Neurospora crassa OR74A: one gene and its partners. Each later gene encodes a partner of the first gene's protein in a complex. Links are inferred from orthologs where the notes say so. Each region holds a gene or a part of one and is shown in the gene's direction. Other genes may lie near its edges.

Region 1 (3,748 bases):
AGACACGGGGACACGCAGCATGCCAACTGTTTTTGTAGTCTGATCGTACCTGGTTGCGGATCTTGACGGGATCGTCAGTGACGGGCTGGGTCGAAGGATCGTATTTCCTGTTGTTCTTGTAGTCGGCGCGGTCGATAGACTTGGTAGCCTCAGGCTTCTTCTCCTCCTCCTTGCTGGCATCCTCAGTCTTGGGAGCCTCCTCGGCGGCGGGGGCAGCCTCCGCGACGGGGGCCTCTACAGTCTCGGTTTGGACCTCGGTCTGAACATTCTCGACGGCAGGCGCAGCCTCAGTGTTGGCGGTGGTATCGCTCATGATGAAGGTCGGAGTGGCCTGTAGGTATTTGAAAGGGTAAAGTACAAGCGGCTGTAAAGGCAATTGACCGTCTAACGTGACGCGCGTGCACGGAAGAGAAGAATGGATGTAGATGGCCGGGAGAGAGATAATGGTGAACGGATGATGAAAATGCAGAAAGTGCACTGGAGACCGGGGACCAAGCAGGCAAAACGACGAAATTATTTAGTGGGTCCTTCAGGTGCACTCCAGTTTTGGGGCGGTAGGCGCAAAATGTTATTGCAGGGTGCAGTGGGGGAATGGTGTTGGGTTGGTGCAGGGTTGATTGTTGATCGACGCGACAGGAAAGTCGGCCATTCACCAGCAAATCCCAGGACGTGTGTGAAGTGTAGAGGTAGTCACGTAGTGTAAGTCAGGTAGGACCTCGATAATTCTGAACTGTAACACACACTTCAATTCCCTTGTCAAAGATCGAGAGTTTGATTCAGTCTTGTCCATCCATTACTGAGCTCCCTCCCTCCATCATCATACAGCAGCGTAACCCATCTGCCCTGACTTTTTCCAGGGTCTGTCGGCATTGGAGTCATATCGAGGACTGCACTTGTCAAAACCTCCCCCTCAGCGCAAAAAAATGGAAGCGGCGAAACCAAGCAAGCAACCAAATCAGCCCCACCCAGGTCCAAGGGAACCGCCTTTGGGTTTAGACTTTTTGTGCCGATTTCTACCGCCTGGCTCTGCTTCTAGCCCCACTCCACTTGCACCCGCAATCCGCCAAGAGGTTGCGGAGCTATACCGCATGCGCTCTAGCTCCCGCATCCTGTGCCTGCCAGTTCTCCACCATCCGGCCTGGAGTTGACGCGCACAGTGGCCCGAGCTTCTCACGTGAATGCGACCAATGGGCGAGCGCGTGCTCCAATTCGGGTCTGAAATAATTTTCGGAGGACGGCGCCCGATAAGAGGTGGAAGGGCCCCGGGAAGCTCCCCTCGTTGGCAGTGCTGCTAGGTGCCCCGGACCGCTCCGGACTCGACAATCTCCAAACAACCTGCGCCGAACCGGTCCGTCCACTTCGCCAAAAGCACGGGGCCTACAGTCCGATCCGATCCCCCGAAGCTCCTCCAAACACACCACACCCAACATGAAGATCCGGAGGTTGTTCAAGTACCACAGTTTGAAGAAAAAGGTATGTGCTATTCGGTGTTTTATGCCGCCGTCGCCGGGTTTGCCGTTGGTCATCGTCGCCGCCGCCGCATCATCACCCCATTCGCCCCATTACCTACTACCTGCCAGTCCCATTGCCACGACACTCAACACCCACCACACGCGATCATGCTGACGTATTTTGTGTGCGCTTCTTCTTCTTCCGAATAGCCCATCAGGCCGACATGGAACAAATATAACCTGTACAACCTGGCTACGGCCGGGAGAGAACCCAGAATCAGCGGCAAGACATTCTTCCAGCAGAAATGGCTCGCCAAGTCCTTGACACGAGCATACCACGGCGAGCACATCAAGGAACGCAAATGGGCGCGCATGTTTAGCCGTCGCCTACCGGCCGTCGTCAACATGGACCCGGCATACATGGCCAAATATAACGGCAGCGAACAAGCCGCCGGCCGCGGTTCCGGCCTCTCAGAGCCCCCAGCCTACGAGAAGACCGCCGACGAGAAACCTGCCAAGCAAGTCATCGCCAACCCGGGCAGGAAGGTTCCCACGCCGTACGAGCAAATGACCTTTGCGCCTCTCGAGAGACGCCTCGATATCGCCATATTCAGAGCCCTCTTTGCCAGCAGTGCGAGACAGGCCCGCCAGATGGTTGTGCACGGTGCCGTCACCGTCAACGGCAAGAAGGCATGTACACCATCACAACGTTCCAATACCGAATCCCACAATACAGTGCACCCATGCCAAAGCTGCTTGTTTCGGCGCTAACATTACCCGATCCTTTTGCAGATGAAACACCCCGGTTACCTCCTGAACCCTGGCGATCTCTTCCAAGTCGACGTCGAGCGCGTCCTCTATGCGACCGGTGCGCCCAAGGACAAGAAGCTCCTCGCCGCGGCTATGAAGGCCGCCAAGAAGGAGCTTGCGGAGGAAGCACAGGAAGCCGCCGAAGAGAAGGATGCGGAGGCCGAGGAGGCCGAGGAAGGAGAGGCACAAGAAGCAGCCTCCAAGTCCGGCAAGAAGGAGAAGCAAGTCGACACCTCCAAGTTCGACGAGGCCTGGAACCGCAAGTACGAACTCCTGCAGCTCCAACGTCTGCTGCAGTACGCCAAGCACATCGCCGACTCGCCGTCTCACCAGCTCTCCGCGACGCGCAAGCAAGCATTGCGCGCTTTGAAGCGCGACATCAAGGCCGCCATCAAGCAAGCGCAGCGGCGCGACGGGTCCGTTTCGCCAACCGGTAACGTGGTGGACGACCTGACGATGCTTCTCGAGCGCCTTGCGGTCTCCCCTTCCAAGGCCATTCAGCAGGAGGAGGCGGCCAAGGAGCTGAGCAAGAAGCTTGACAAGCAGTCGCGCCAGGTGCTCAAGAAGGTGATCGAGTACAACGACGAGCACGAGGACAACGAGATCGACCCGAGCAAGCCGTACATGACCCCCTGGAGGCCGCGCAACTACATGTCCGCTTTCGCGTTCATCCCCCGCTACCTTGAGGTCAACCAGAACATCTGCGCGGCCGTCTACCTCCGCCACCCCGTGGCGCGCCCGGGCGAGTCCGAAGTACCGTCGCCTTTCTCCCCCACTATCAACCAACTCGCGTTCAACTGGTACTTACGGAGAGGTTAAAGGAGGTCTAGTTAGGAGCGAGGGAATGAAAAGGGGAGATGGAGGGAGGAACGGCAGTCACTCTCTGCCGTCTCAGAGCGGTAGAATTCGCCAATGGACGATTAGAGTCGCGCGCACCCAGTTTTTTGCATGTCGCGGGTACGCTCTATTGTGCTTGTTGCATCTTCAAGGCAACCTCGGATGATGTGATACTCTGCACCTGCTGCGGCTTCAGTTGGACCATGCGTTGGAAATCGGGTTCGGTCTCGATGAGAAAGCTGCGAAGTGGGCGGCAAATCTCGCGATTCCCGGAGAAAAAGGAGACGGGGATGGATCATGCATGAGATGAGTTGACTTCATACGTATTTTGGGCACATTGCGCGTAACAGTTTGTTCGTTCCTCAATACCCGAACAATCTGTTGCAGACTCATTCAGTTCGCCCCCTTCGGCATCGATGTACGCTACATGTATCATTACCACTATTAACTAAATGGATATAAAGAGGGGCATAGACAAATTTCCTTCTTCTTTGCGTAAGAAAGTCATGAGACAGATGAGAACCACCGAGACACCTACGGTCTCCTCTCTGAAAGCTCAGTGCTTATATAGTAAAATTGCCAATCATAGCATTGTCGATCGAGAGGAGCAGTGCAAAGGTAAACACTTATCACTGAGGAAGACGGCAAAA
Region 2 (3,467 bases), on another chromosome or scaffold:
AGCATCTTGATGGTTGTGAAAGTAAATGTCGAGCGAGTGAAGCTTGTAATGGTACTTGGCCTGATTGTGAGGGTCGTATGTTGGTAGATGCCACTCCTCGTAGCCCTCGACCTCGCCAACCGTCAAAGTTACAAGGCAGGTGTGGTTGTAATCGTACTCGAGATGGGTTTTGTCGAGGTCTGGCGACACATGATGTTAGCCTTCCCACTGTCGTCTCGAGCTCTCACTCTAAATCCTAATGCTTACAGCCATCGAAAGCATCCTGGTCTTCCCTTCCAGGTTGGTTCGCAATCTCCAGCCGTGCGCGGCCCAAGTTGGCATCTTCGAAAAGGTATACATAGGAGCCCTTGTCGAACCTGTGATGAGGCGGGTTATTTGTTGGAGGGCCGTAGAAGTAGTGAATATCACCAAAGCTATGCAGCGAATCAATCAGTCAGAATGCGCCCAGGAACTATCACCTCTTTATGGGATCAACGGAAGACAAACTTACAACGTGCCGACGTTCTCCTCTCCCTCACGGGCGGCCATCTTTTGTGATCAACGAACTCGCTTGAGTGAACAAACACAACAACACAACAACGGTAAAAAGGATTGAGAGAACTGAAAGACAGCAAACTTTCTCAGCTTCCCACCCGAGGGCTATCACGCCTAATATCAGAGATGACGGAACCCAAAGAAAACAAAAGCCACTCGGCTTCCGCGTCTTTGCGATAGTACCCTACCTCTTACATACCCTTGCAGGAGACCGTGGTCTGGTTCTTCACATTCGGCTCTCACTCCATGGCGCAATCAGCACACAGCCATCCAACCAGCGCGCACGATAGGTCGGTGATGCGACCCCTAGTGCCGGTAGAGGTGACCTTGCCTGGTGGTTGCATCGTCCTGGATGGTCACTGGATGGTCCGCCTGGGCGCTTAAGGTGGGATGCCAAGAAAGAAGCACGAGCAAGTCAATTGTCACACTCTCCAGTCCTTCTTTCACAATTGACGAGGAGGGAAAGGAGCGGGAGGGAAAGACAAGAAAAAAGGTGGGGTAAGCAGGATCCATCCTCAATAAACCTGGAGAGCTACCAAGAAAGCCCCACCGGACAGACACCTTCTGGTCTCTCTGGCGGAGGGACGGGAGGCCTTTCAGGGCAGCAGGGGTCTCTTTTGCAGTGACTTTCGTGCAAGGCACAGTGGAGGTCATTGCCCGAGGTCATTCACTCTTTCAACGCTCAGCCTGAGGTCTTTTCTCGAACCATCCCTGTCCGTCCTCCACACGGCCCCGGCGGCCAAGCAAACGCACGCACGCCCGCCAGCCCGTACGTAGTGCCGTACGGCAGAAGCGGACAGAGCAGCAGGGGGACAAAAAATCGGCAGCACAACTTACCTAACGGAGCCATCCCGATCGAGACCTCGAAACCGCAATTCGCATCCGGACCCCGTTGCGCGCCGCATTCGCGAGTCCCGAAACCTCCACTTGTTTTTACGGCTCCTCCGAAGTCCGAATTCCTCCATCACGACCACCGACCCGTGACGGCCACCCGACTGTGCGCAACAGCTACGGTCTCCCGATTGGTTGTGCGTTGCAATCTTCCTTTTTTTTTTTTTTTTTTTCTGTCCCGCGAATCTTCATCGGCACGCCTAGACTAACCTCAAGACGCCCCGTCGCTGCAGCACCGATTCCTCACCCGCATCATCCTTCTCTTCATCCCGCATCATCCTTCTCTTCATCCCGCAAGGTCCCCAGTTCGCCGCCGCATCTCCCGAGCACTTCTACACCGGACGGACCAAGCCATACCAGCCGATCGACCCGACGACTTACGCGACGACGGCCGACTTCTCTCTCTTTATAACCCATCACCCAGTGCATACCATTTTCTCTCTCTCTCTTCAGCAACACAAAAGTCCCACACGGGCATCATCAAACCTTCAAAATGGGCATTCAACAAATCACCAACATGTGCTCGCACCTCCAAAACGCCTCGCGCGCTCGCCTGGGCCTGACCTCCCTGCCCAACACCAAGTACAACCTCGCCCTGGCCCTGGCCCTGCACCGCGCAGGCTTCATCTCCTCCATCACGCGGGGCGGTCCTCACCCGCCCACGCCCGAGGCCCTCATGACCTACGAGCCCGAGCCCGTGACCAGTGCCAACGTGGCCACGCGCCGGTTGTGGGTGGGACTCAAGTACTGGAACGAGGAACCCGTCTTGAAGGAGCTGAAGCCGATTTCGAAGCCGTCGAGGCTGGTGACTGCCTCCCTGGAACAGCTGAACCGTGTGGCGAGGGGCTTTCCCGCGGGATACATGAAGGGGTTGCAGTTGGGCGAGTGTTTGTTTGTGAACACTGATAGAGGTGTGTTGGAGGTTAGGGAGGCAGTGGAGAGGAAAGTTGGTGGGCTGGTTTTGTGCAAGGTAAAATAGATGGGTAGAAGAAGAAGAAGGAGGAGGGTCTCAAGGATGGACGGTGGGGATAGGACATGAATTCGGTGAAAGGAAGGCATTGTTGGGAAGGAAGCGAGAGGAATAGAAGAAGAGGAGGAAGAGTCACCGCACTTTGGGAGGATCTCAAACCTGAACTGGAGCCAACCATTTCTGTGCGCAGTGTACGATACGGATGTGATTCCATTGTACACTAGACGACTTAGCAAGACTGGACAAACATGGAAAGGAATAGACATTGGCAAAGCAGAGCTCATCCTTGGTTCTTGCTATGTGAATATGAGGTATGAGGCCAAGAAAGACAACGAGCTGGCATCCTGTATGCTATGATCTATGCATGACAACTAAATCATCAGCACTCACCGTGGAAACAGATATCACCAAGATTGATAAGAAAAGGGATCGATTCATCCTGCTCCAGGGTGCTGTACAACCCACTATCTGCTATGCATTCATACTTCATGCTTCGCCAACTTTCTTACAAATGTGTGATTGGTCTTTCTACAAAGGTATCATGAAATGTGCTAACCCAGTAACACTGCATCCCCCTCTTTCACTGTCTCGAACAAGTAATAGGGGTGATTAAAAAAGACTCTACAGGCCAAAAAGCGATCACATCCACCATTTCTGGCTTCCTTTTACGAATCAGAAGTGTGCTTAAATTCCGAAGTGCTGGCAGACTTCTCCTCGCCGTGCTCCTAGATGTCAGCATCGGTGGTATCAACAACCTCGGCAGCGGACGAGGGGGCGGCTTCAGTCTCCTGGGCTGGCATCTCCTCCTTAACAACATGAACGTCAGAAGTGGGGGTTTGGGGAGCTTCCGTGGCTTCCTCTACCGGCTGAGCAACTTCTTGAGGAGTCTCCGTCACAGTGGGGAGGGGCACCTCAACAGCTTCTTCTGCCTTGGGAACCGGCTCAGCCTTGGCCGCAGCTGAACCAGCACGAGACTGTTTCGGTGTCGTAGCCGCAGATGGTGCTGCAGATTTAGTGGCAGGTTTTTTGGTCCGTGGCTTGCTGAGACTTCTCTTCGCGGCAGGTCCGGGCG
Region 3 (3,748 bases), on another chromosome or scaffold:
TCTTGGGGGCGACGTTGGTCAACTTGGGGGTATCAAGGAGAGCGAAGGGAGGAGCAACGGCCGAGTAGATGGGCTGGTTGTAGACAGTGGTGTACCAACGGGTGACGTTGGGGTACTGCTCGCGCCAGGCCTTGTCGAAGAAGAACTCGAAGCCGCGGGCAATGATGCCAGTGGCGAAGAGATCGGCAAGGGTGATGCGCTCGCCAACGAGGAAGGTGTTGTTCTTGAGGTGGGCCTCGGCGACAGAGATGGCCTTGAGGGCAGTAGCCTGAGCGTCCTCAACAGCCTTCTTGTTGTAGGGAGCCTTGCCAAGGAGAGGGCGGTACCAGCCAGCAAGAGGGGGAAGGACCTCGGTGTTGAAGAAAGAGAGCCACTTCAGGATGGAGGCATAGCTGAACCACGCGTTAGCAAGTGATTGCACAGGTTTGGATGCTCGATCATAAACTTACTCCTGCTTGGTCTTGCCGAGGAGAGTGGTCTTCTCGTTCTGGGAAGCGACTGTTGTCCGTTAGCCATGACTGTCCAATCAAGATACGTGGCAATTGCAGGAGGACAAAGAGTGAGTTCGACAGTCAGAAGTTAGAACCAAGTCAACACCGTATTTCAGATAGGGATAACTGTTTGAAAAATGTCTCGGTCATCAGGTCGAAGGGGCAAGGGGTTGTGCGCTAGCACATCAGAGGGTATCTGGCGCAAAGTTGATGCGTGTTTCAAAGTGCGGGGCAGGGCAGTCTTGCTTGACGCCCAACATATTCTGTCAACGTACCATAGATGGCGATGGCGATGCACTCGAAGAGAGTGTAGCCGTCGGCACCAACGAAGGTGGGGACCTTGCCGAGAGGGTTGACCTTCTTGTACTCCTCGATGGCAGCCTCAAGGTCGACCTTGATAACCTCGAGGTCGAGGTTGTTGGCCTTCGCGACAGCCAAGATGGCCGTGGAGCGGGGGTTCGCCTAGTGAGCAGAATCTGTTAGAATGTCGGCGCTCGTCCGCAGGCGCCCGCCGTGTCAAGACGAGCGCCGCAATCTCTGAATTCTGCTCATCTTACCTCGTAGGTGTAAAGCTTTCCGAAGGCCATCTTTGATAATTTGATCAATGATGAGGAAAGATGGGTTTGGGAAGAAGAGGGGTGACGGGGAAGCAAATAAAAAGGGATCTGTGCGATGGATGATGTGGATGGGAAGACACAGAGGAAATTTTATCTGTGGTGGGGCATGCGCGCGGCCACGGCAGTGGCGGGGAAATTGCCTGGCTGCTGAGCCTGCATCCCGTTTTGGCGGCTGGGTTGCTTCCCCTCACATCAGAACCTCACAGCGCTGGAACTCGACAGAATGCATGAGAGAGCTCAGTACCTTAACCGCCCGCCGGCCCGTTGGCGGCTGTGGAAGGCTGCCCAGATGGGATTCCATTGATGGTACCTAGCGAGGTATGCTTTCGGCCAGTGATTCACACTTCCGCTGTCTGTGCTTTCAGTTCCCTCGTGCCATGCCTTGATGGCTGCCAGGCTTCCAGCCCATGGAAAACGGTGCCGCTTGATTGCCGGGCATCTTGTCTTATCTGCCTGCCGGGCGGAATGGTCCCCCTGTCGGGGCCGCATGCGTGGAGGGGAAGGTGACGGGAGCCCAGGTGAGGTCGGGTCCAGTGAGTGCGGTGCTTGAGTGGGAAGCATGGGTGGTCCGAGCTCCCATTTTCCGCTTGCCGGGTGGAAAAATCCTCTTGCGAATTGTTCCGCCGCGGGACGGCCCACGACGCGCAGACGGGACCCGGAGTCCGGACCTGATTGACCACTGCCCGCGCTGGACCTGCCCTCGCCCCCGACAGCCCCAAAGATACCCATCGGCGAGCCGACCACACCTCGACCCGAACCCCAATCCCACTCCTCTCCCGATCCAGTAGCCCTCGGGGCCCGATAATGTACGAGAGGTGAACAGCCGCTTATGAATGATGGCATCTCTTAGACACAGCATTACCAGTGCTCTTCGGAGCTCCCGCCAGGGCTGTTCCAAGTCGGCGCAATGGCAGTCGCTTGACCAGCAATTCGGCGCTTTGCGCATCAGCTCGAGGTCCCTGTCCACCCACGCCCACGACCACAACCCGAACGTAGATGGCCAATTCATCGCCGCCCCTGCGCTCAGCATAGACAACTTCAAACTCCATCCCTATGCCCGTGCCGTCCCCGTGTCGCCCTCGTACTTCACCCGGACGCCCCGGTTCTACGACAACTATCTTTCCCTAGAAAAGCTCATGGAGGAGTACGAAGACCTTCCTGTCATCCCCGCGACCGCCGTCGAGCGCGTGGCCTGGAAGACGCTCGAGGATATCAGGAAAGAGCTCGGCGAGCAGGTCAAGGCATCCGAGTTCGCAAGGTGTCTGGCTCTCGTCAAACGGCTCAACTCGATCCACCCCGACCTTAAGCCACAAGAGATCAAGGATGTGCTCGACAGCTTCAGGCGCAACGTACAACCCTTTACAAATGTCGCCAAGCCGATCCCGATTGACCAGTTTGGCCGCGCTTGTGGAGTCGGCAAGAGAAAGGCCTCGAGTGCTCGGGCCTTCGTGGTGGAGGGTACCGGCGAGGTTCTGGTCAACGGGAAGACCTTGGCCGAGTACTTTGGGCGGGTTCACGATCGCGAGAGCGCTGTTTGGGCTTTGCGCGCAACAAATCGCATTGACAAGTACAACGTCTGGGTCAAGGTGGAGGGTGGTGGTACCACGGGTCAGGCGGAGGCCATTACGCTGGCTATCGCAAAGGCCTTGCTGGCTCATGAGCCTGCTCTGAAGCCGGCGTTAAGAAGGGGTAAGCTTCGCACTACATTACACATGTTTTGGTTTTCTATGATTGTGCCTCGCCATACAGGCTTTCGCGGTATGGTAGGTAGGGATGATGCACCTTTGCTAACAAGTCCCTCTTTCTTTTACTGTAGCCGGATGTGTCACACGCGACCCGAGGAAGGTCGAAAGAAAGAAACACGGCCATGTCAAGGCCAGAAAGATGCCTACCTGGGTCAAGAGATAATCGCCCTCCTGCTACAGTTTGCGGTATTATTGGATGGGTTTCGTTTTTTGGGGGGGCATTGTGAATATGCTGCCTCAGTTTCGGTTTATGCACGAACGACCAGTCAAATGGAGCGATGCTTTTTTTCCCCACCAGCGCAGCATCACAGCTCCTTTCTTTCTGGGAAGCATTTTCTCTCATGTGCGTACTCTATATGTGGATATGCATGTGAGTGTCCGTCTCGCTTGTGGCCTCGCCTGGGCCTACCAAGTTCAGCACAGGTCGATCTCAGGCAAGCACGCGTGTACTTGTACAGGAGGGGTTCAACAAACCGTGTTAGGGGGGGGCCGGCACGACCTTGTTGTGTGTGTATAATACAATCTATGTGTGTGCTGGGGGGGTTACAACGGTTCTTTTTGCCATGGAAAAAAAAGGTATGCAAACCGATTCGACGCCCGGCCTCTTCAACCGGCATCACTGCAACTTTGACATGGGTTTTGCTTGTGATGGGTTGACTGATTCGTGCGACTACAAGTCATGAACCATCCGGGGGTTACATCCAATGTGTAAGAGGCATGCCGAACAACTCCCATCTCACAGATTAGGTGGGAACGATACGCACTGCAGGGCACACGTGGGTTAGCCGCGCTGTCAGAACCGCGTTTTCTGAACTTCAGATTCCGTTCCCGTGGCGGCAGAGTGCAATCCGTGTTCAGCATCCTCGCCCGAGGGCCCTGGGGGACTGTAAGGATC

The links.
Region 2: NCU08296 (region 1) and NCU02951 share a complex: the UniProt entries of both Saccharomyces cerevisiae proteins name them as parts of the mitochondrial small ribosomal subunit. The link is inferred for Neurospora crassa OR74A from reciprocal best matches to the Saccharomyces cerevisiae genes NAM9 and MRPS8.
Region 3: NCU08296 (region 1) and NCU03827 share a complex: the UniProt entries of both Saccharomyces cerevisiae proteins name them as parts of the mitochondrial small ribosomal subunit. The link is inferred for Neurospora crassa OR74A from reciprocal best matches to the Saccharomyces cerevisiae genes NAM9 and MRPS9.

What each region holds. Positions count from the first base shown.
Region 1 is NC_026504.1:2,502,153-2,505,900, reverse strand, and holds NCU08296 (mito ribosomal protein S4), read left to right. Parts: upstream 1-1,239; 5' UTR 1,240-1,428; coding exon 1,429-1,473; intron 1,474-1,661; coding exon 1,662-2,141; intron 2,142-2,243; coding exon 2,244-3,080; 3' UTR 3,081-3,624; downstream 3,625-3,748. Other genes in the region: NCU08295 (RNA-binding La domain-containing protein), read right to left, coding at 50-313. UniProt on the Saccharomyces cerevisiae protein: Component of the mitochondrial ribosome (mitoribosome), a dedicated translation machinery responsible for the synthesis of mitochondrial genome-encoded proteins, including at least some of the essential transmembrane subunits of the mitochondrial respiratory chain.
Region 2 is NC_026501.1:8,605,693-8,609,159, reverse strand, and holds NCU02951 (mitochondrial 37S ribosomal protein MRPS8), read left to right. Parts: upstream 1-1,127; 5' UTR 1,128-1,562; intron 1,563-1,658; 5' UTR 1,659-1,918; coding exon 1,919-2,404; 3' UTR 2,405-2,857; downstream 2,858-3,467. Other genes in the region: NCU02950 (hypothetical protein), read right to left, coding at 1-179, 247-413, 491-528; NCU02952 (hypothetical protein), read right to left, coding at 3,121-3,467. UniProt on the Saccharomyces cerevisiae protein: Component of the mitochondrial ribosome (mitoribosome), a dedicated translation machinery responsible for the synthesis of mitochondrial genome-encoded proteins, including at least some of the essential transmembrane subunits of the mitochondrial respiratory chain.
Region 3 is NC_026505.1:2,536,289-2,540,036, forward strand, and holds the start of NCU03827 (mitochondrial 37S ribosomal protein MRPS9), read left to right. Parts: upstream 1-1,309; 5' UTR 1,310-1,941; coding exon 1,942-2,797; intron 2,798-2,924; coding exon 2,925-3,016; 3' UTR 3,017-3,748. Other genes in the region: NCU03826 (elongation factor 1 gamma domain-containing protein), read right to left, coding at 1-392, 450-498, 767-953, 1,049-1,078. UniProt on the Saccharomyces cerevisiae protein: Component of the mitochondrial ribosome (mitoribosome), a dedicated translation machinery responsible for the synthesis of mitochondrial genome-encoded proteins, including at least some of the essential transmembrane subunits of the mitochondrial respiratory chain.